Linked DNA regions of Mus musculus. The protein of the gene in region 1 binds, or shares a complex with, the protein of each later gene. Links are inferred from orthologs where the notes say so. Each region holds a gene or a part of one and is shown on either strand. Other genes may lie near its edges.

Region 1 (3,819 bases):
GGCATTATCTGCTAAGCCATCTCTCTGACACAGAAACAGCACCCCCATCTCCACTAATATTTAAAAATTGTGGTTCATTGGATATGTATGTGGACACAGAACCTGTGCCTACAGAGGGCTGCCCCAGTTTCTTAGAATTACCTCCTAGAGTGCTCGGCTGCAGCCCCGTTGGTAGAGTATGCCTGTCTAGCACACAGGAAGCCCTGGTTCATCCCCAGTACTGTGAAAACTGGGCAGGGTGGCACACGCCACACAGGAGGTGGCAATAAAAGGATTGGTTGTTCAAGATCATCGCCAGCTACACTTCACGCTATGTGAGACCCTGTCCTAAAGTGGAAGGGGGGTCAGAAGAAACCCCTACCTCAGAGGCTCTCAATGTGTAGTTACACATTCTTTGCCTGAAAATTCAACCGGTTTTCACTCCCACTATTCCTGTACCTGGGTAGAATATTATTAATTTTAAATATCTGTCAGTCTGGTTGTTAATATAATATTAATTATATATAATATACAAATATATAATTATATCTTAATATATCAATTATAGTATATGATTTTGTATATTATAATTAATATAGAATTAATATATTAACCTTTATCATATATAATTATGTCATGTATTATTATATGATTAATATTAACCACTGTTATAACATTCATTTCCTCAACCCACTTTAAGACTATAGTACAGTTCATTTTTCTGAGTTGAAATGCAGGTGTTATTTAATGTTTTTGTTCAGTATTCCTTTCTCCTGCAATGTTTCTGCATCACACAGTGTGAAGGGGCTGGTGAAAGAGTAATGTCTGGGTGCATTCACAGGAAGGTAGGGTACAGGCCGGGTGATGCACTGTGCGTCTTGCCTGGGCTGTACAGAGATGTGATTCTTGTCATTGTCATTTAAAAGTATTCATTTTATGCCAGGCAGTGAAGTGGTGGTGCACACCTTTAATCCAAGAACCCAGGAGGCAGAGGCAGGTGGATTTGAGTTCAAGGCCAGCCTGGTTTATAGTTTGAATTCCAGGGCAGCCAGGACTACACAGAGAAGCTCTGTCTCAGAAAACCAACAAAAAAATAATTGTATCTTTATTTATGTGTGTTATACGAATATGTGCGTGCGTGCGTGCGTGCGGTGCCTTTGGAGGTCAGATGAATATGTCTGATCTCCAGGAGTTGGAGTTAAGGGTCACTGGGAGCTGCCTAACGTAGGGACTGGATCCAAACTCAGGCCTTCCTCAAGCACTCTGGAGTGCTCAGCCATCGTCCCAGGCCCCTGGGGCTCTTCTTTAAGCACACCAACAAAGCACTCTTTTGATTAAACTCAATGGTGAAGGGTGTGGAGAGAGGGAAGACACAGGCCTTGAGTGCTGAGAGGATAAGAGGGGCAGAGGGGAGAGTGACTATTAAAACCGACAGGGCTCTGTGTACATGGGGCAAACTCCATTTATAAGGTGCATTTATTTTAGATGGTTCTAGAAGGAAAAAAAAAAAACCTCACAGATGGAATACAAAAGTTAGCTAATTTGAATCTTACTTTAAAACATTCCTGCAGGGAACCATAGTGCACACACACCTTTGATGCCTGTGCTTGGATTAGAAGTTCAAGGTCACCTTCAGTTATGTTATAGGTTCAAGGCCAGCCTGGAATATATAAGACCCTGTGTCTCAAAGACGAAAAGGGAGGGGGCTGGTGGTGCAGTTAGCGTGAAAGAGTGCTTACCTAGCATACATGGAGCCCTGGGGTTGATTCTCAAGCACCATGAAAACCAGGCATGGTAGCCCACGCCTCCAATCTAAGCACTTGAGAAGTGGAGGCAGGGGGATCCGGAGTGTAAGGCCATCCACATAGGAAGCTTGAGGCCAGACTGATACACATAAAAACTTTTTTTCTTTAAAACCTTTTTTTTTCTAGTATTTTGTATTGTTGTATGACTTCCACCAGAGGTAGTGAGCGAGCAGCTTGCCTCTGGAGGTATTCCAGTAAAGCCTTGCATTCATAGTGCTGGTAAAGGGACCTGCCAACAGCCGTTGGAACACGGAGGTGGATGGGACCAGTCCTGCCTCAAGCCACTGCCATTGGAATACAGAAGAATCAGCTCCATCGAGGTGGGCAGGTAGGGCTGACCTGTGCCTCTCTCTGCAGCATGCATACCTGCTGAAGCTCAAGGTCATGTACACTGTAGGCTACAGTTCCTCCTTGGCCATGCTCCTGGTCGCCCTCAGCATCCTGTGCTCTTTCCGGTGAGAACATCCTGCCCACTCTCAATACTCCCTCAACCCCCGCCTGCAGGGACACAGTCCTTAAATCTCTCCCTATTACTCAGGATGGAAGGGGGGGCGCTGCCCGGCCATCTTGATAAGCTCAGGATAGCTATGAATCTAGCTCAACACAAAATTGGAAACTTAAAACATGTTTTTGGGGTTTTTTTTTGTAACTCACAAAAGGAGTAAATTTTGTAGATGAAAATGTGCTATTGCAATATCATGCAAAAAAATGTATGTAAACATATGTATGCATGCCTTCAAATCCAGAAGGCGGTGGTTGGACACCCCTGGATTTAATGTGCGTTCCAAGACAAGTCTTTGTCCAGTGCAGTCCAGAAAAGCTGAAAGGCTGGACACCCTCTATGCAAAGCTCTCTTGTGGGGTTAGGGATGTGGCTCCGTTAGCAGAGTGCCCACCTATCAAGCACAAGGCCATGGGTTCAGTCCCCTGAACTGCATAAACTGGAAACAGTGACACATGCCCTGTGGCTACCCCAGGTGGAGGTAAAAGGATCAGAAGTTCATGGTCACCCTTGGCTACAAAGGCAATTGGAGGCCAGACGAGGCTGTGAACGATCCGATCTCAAAATAAAATAATGGCAAGGAGAACCAGTAACAAACTTCCAGTCCCTAGAGCACAGGAGAAAACTGGGGAGCTGGAGGTGATGGTTGGCCAGGGCAGAAGACATGTTGCTGTTCCAAAACTAGTGATTATGTTACTCCATTCTGTTCTGGTCTATTCTGTCCTGAGTCATGGTATCACCAAGTAGCCCCTGGGAGCCTAGAATCTGAGATGATCCCTCTGCCTCCACCACCCAGGTGCTAGGATTACAGGCATGCACCACTAGGCCTGGCTTTCTTCAGTACAGTACAGGATGTGCCAGGCACCTAGGGACCTATGCCCTCACTCGAGTTCTCTTAGCAGAGACAGATGGGACCTGAGGGCTGGTGGCAGGGCTTTGGTTTCTCCATGCAAGGGGAGGGGGCAGGGGCAGGTACACCTGTGTGAGCACCAGCCCCTCCTTCCATGATCTCGCAGCCCCACATTCTCTCTGACAGGAGGCTGCACTGCACTCGCAACTACATCCACATGCACCTGTTTGTGTCCTTCATCCTTCGCGCCCTGTCCAACTTCATCAAGGACGCCGTACTCTTCCCCGCAGATGACGTCACCTACTGTGATGCCCACAGGGTAACATGACTAAATGTCCTAGACTGACCTTGGAGAGAACCAAACCCCATAGCATAGTGTCCTCCTTGCAACGCGCCATTAAGATTACACAGATACGGTGCTTGGCAGGAAGTGGGAGTTCCAGGAGGTTTCCTAATGCAGCCGTGGAGGCATGATGTAAGCCGCGTATATTAGAATCTGTGGAGGCTGCCTTTGGTTCCGAGGGCTCAGAGCGCCCCAGCTGCTCTGGAAACTAGACCTCTGGTGAGACTTCTCTTTTCTGGACTCTGCCAACTCCCAGCTACAGACAAATGGCAAAGTCTGGGAGAAGTTGCCGGTTATTGGAGTGGGGAGAAAAAGCGAGTTTGCACCTGAATGTCTGCACA
Region 2 (3,044 bases), on another chromosome or scaffold:
CCACACTCCTGTAATACCAGTACCCCAGAGGTACTGGCAGGAAGATGTGAAGTTCAAGGTTATCCTAAGCTATGTAACAAATTCCTGGCCAGCCTGGGGTATATGAGACCTTGTCTCAAAAATGCAAAGCAAAGAAGTCCCAAGCTGCCAAACCCCTCCTCCCAAACTGCAAACAGAGCTGGTCTTGGTGGCTCAGATTTGCAATCTCTGCTGTTGAGGGTCCAGGCCAACTTGGGCTACATAGTGAGATCAAAGGCAACGTGAGCTAAATACTCCGTCTCCCCAAAAAAAACAAAAAGAAACAATTCCTAATAACAAAACCAAACAACAATATGAACTAACCAGTACCCCAGAGCTCTTTACTCTAGCTGCATATGTATCAAAAGACGGCCTAGTCGGCCATCACTGCAAAGAGAGGCCCATTGAACTTGCCAACTTTAGATGCCCCAGTACAGGGGAACACCAGGGCCAAAAAGGGGGAGTGGGTGGGTAGGGGATTGAGGGGGGTGGATATGGGGGACCTATGGGATAGCATTGAAAATGTAAACGAGGAAAATACCTAATAAAAAAAATTAAAAAAAAACAAAACCATATGATTTTTATCTGAGAGTTAGCTCCTAACAGTTCTCTGGGTTTGTAATTTGATATTAAGGGTTATCTTTTTTTTTTTTTTTTAAATATTTATTTATTTATTATATGTAAGTACACTGTAGCTGTCTTCAGACACACCAGAAGAGGGCGTCAGATCTTATTACAGATGGTTGTGAGCCACCATGTGGTTGCTGGGAATTGAACTCGGGACCTTTGGAAGAGCAGTCAGTGCTCTTAACCTCTGAGCCATCTCTCCAGCCCCAAGGGTTATCTTTTTTGATTTGAGTTTCGGTGCTGGGTTGAACTCAGGTCTTGGTGCGTACTGCTACCACTAAGGTCGGGGACTCCAAGTATGAAGATGTTCTGCAAGCCTATTTGTCTTCAATCCCCATCCATAGCTCCCCGCCCCAACTCCTTTACAACCTCTACCCACCTGCGTTTCTTTTATTCTAACCTATCTCCATTTTCTGCTACCAATTCAAATAAACTGTCTCCTTCCATCCAAAAATGCAACCCCAGGCCTACGAGGATTCCCATTTTGTTTCTGGTGCTGAGCTGCCCTTAAGGTGGTTATCTGCAGTAGTCTACCCTGCCCTGGCTTCAGCAGGAGCGCTAGGACACTGGTCTTCCTTTCCTCTCAGTCGTCTGCCTGCCCTAGGCTCCTCAAGACACCTACAGCTCCTTCCAGACAAGAGTGCGGCAAGGTCTTGGTCTAGGCTAGGCTCCAAGATGAGTTGAGGTCTCACAGTGCGGTTCGCTCTGCCCGTCCTGAACTGCCACCCCTATTTTCTATCCCTGGACACAGATGAAGATGTCCATTTCGCTACTTGGTAGCACTACTCCTCTAATCTCCCCCCCCAAGGCAGTTGAGGGGCGCCAACACGGCGGTAGGGACAGGAGGTGGCCGGACGACAGCTGGGTGGGCGGCCCTGACCTTCCTGCAATCAATGAGGCGGGGCCGGCCGCGCGGAGCCGGGGCGGTGCTGGAGCCCACCGCCGCCGGCGGTCCCGGCAGCTATAAAGCGGTGGCGCGGGGCTCAGGCTGAAGTTGCAGCATTTGTCACACCCAGAGCCCGACCATGGAGCCTCCGCTGCCCACGCCGATGCTACTGCTGTTGCTGCTGCTGCTCTCCAGTTCCGCCGCGCTCCCTGCACCTCCCAGGTGAGCAGGGTTGGGAATCCGTTTCATCCCGGCCACGCCCACACTTCAATTTCTGACCCTTATGGCTTCACCCCTCCCCAGGACCCCAAGACACTCAGACGGAATGTTCACCAGCGAGCTCAGCCGCTTGCAGGACAGTGCCAGGCTGCAGCGCCTGCTGCAGGGTCTGGTGGGGAAGCGCAGGTGAGCCCGCGCTAGGTAGAATTTTCCAGACTGGCTAGTATGGGACAGGCCCGCCACATCCCTGTACACCACTAATTCTACTTTGGGCGTGGGGGTGGGGGTGGGGTCAGCGAGCAGGACACAGAAAATATCCCAGAGAACAGCCTGGCCCGGTCCAAGCCCTTAGAGGACCAGCTCTGCTTGCTGTGGTCGAACACTCAGACCCTACAGGACTGGTGAGTTTTCCATCCTCAGCTGGATTCCTAAAGTGCCCCAGCCAGGTGGGTACCCGCACTCTGATGGTCACTCACTAGTCCCCTCTCCTTCCACAGGCTTCTGCCCAGGCTGTCCCTGGATGGGTCCCTGTCTCTCTGGCTGCCTCCTGGACCAAGGTCTGCTGTTGATCGTTCAGAGTGGACTGAAACAACCAGGCCACCCAGATGAGGGAGGAAGAGTCTCTAGGACCCTGGCTGGAGTAGGGATTGGTTGTCCTTGGCATCAATAAAAAAGGAATTTAGACCCTGGTCTTTTAGCTCATGGTGTGTGATGTCTGATAAAATGAAGGCCGCCTCTGCTCCGAGAGCCTGGAAGGCGTGGACAGATCCAGCCATCTCATTCAGTGGCTAGGACCACACCCAGCTGCCCTTTGAACCCAAGAAGCCAGCTAGGACATTTCTTATCTCTGGCATCAGCTGAACCCCTCTTTTCCCAGCTGAATTCCCTAGAGTGCCACCTTGCCCTGTGGTCCATTTAGCAAAATTTCTAGGGATCAGGGACTCCCCACCCTGGTCCAGCCATGTGGCCAGGGTAAATGAAGTGGTGAGGAGGAGGCTCAGGCGGGGTCATAGGGGTCCGCTTATGAGTGGGAGGACCTGAGTACATCCTGGCTCTAACATGTCTAGGCCTGAGGCCTGACGGTGATGTCATCTCCCAGTAGGCAGCTGTAGGACCAGTGAAGGGTTGTGAGACAGTGCTCAGTCTTTGCAGAGGCTTGGAGCCTCGGGAAGGTTTTCAGACACCTAAAGCAGCCAGCCCTGCAAAGGCCCACAGTAGTGAGAGCTGTGCAGGCCCTTTCAACAGAACACCCCCTACGACCCTCCTGATCCCACCCAGGGCCTTCTTCCTATCT

What was found.
Region 2: the proteins of Sctr (region 1) and Sct are in contact, whole or in part, in a cryo-EM structure (PDB 6WZG), measured with the Homo sapiens proteins. The link is inferred for Mus musculus from reciprocal best matches to the Homo sapiens genes SCTR and SCT. Residues at the interface, in NP_002971.2 of Homo sapiens: Arg30, Leu31, Cys32, Leu35, Asp71, Asn72, Pro117, Val125, Val127, Asn128, Asp129, Asn132, Arg135, His136, Leu139, Leu140, Leu142, Lys143, Tyr146, Tyr150, Arg188, Asn192, Lys195, Leu199, Phe200, Ser202, Asp203, Val205, Met219, Phe222; in NP_068739.1 of Homo sapiens: His28, Ser29, Asp30, Gly31, Thr32, Phe33, Thr34, Ser35, Glu36, Leu37, Ser38, Arg39, Leu40, Arg41, Glu42, Arg45, Leu46, Gln47, Arg48, Leu49, Leu50, Leu53, Val54.

Annotation. Positions count from the first base shown.
Region 1 is NC_000067.6:120,041,310-120,045,128, forward strand, and holds part of Sctr (secretin receptor isoform 1 precursor), read left to right. Parts: intron 1-1,998; coding exon of another isoform or gene 1,999-2,112; intron 2,113-2,141; coding exon 2,142-2,239; intron 2,240-3,321; coding exon 3,322-3,454; intron 3,455-3,819.
Region 2 is NC_000073.6:141,277,725-141,280,768, reverse strand, and holds Sct (secretin isoform 2 preproprotein), read left to right. Parts: upstream 1-1,635; 5' UTR 1,636-1,670; coding exon 1,671-1,753; intron 1,754-1,834; coding exon 1,835-1,936; intron 1,937-2,046; coding exon 2,047-2,151; intron 2,152-2,229; coding exon of another isoform or gene 2,230-2,247; coding exon 2,248-2,359; 3' UTR 2,360-2,440; downstream 2,441-3,044. UniProt on the Homo sapiens protein: Hormone involved in different processes, such as regulation of the pH of the duodenal content, food intake and water homeostasis.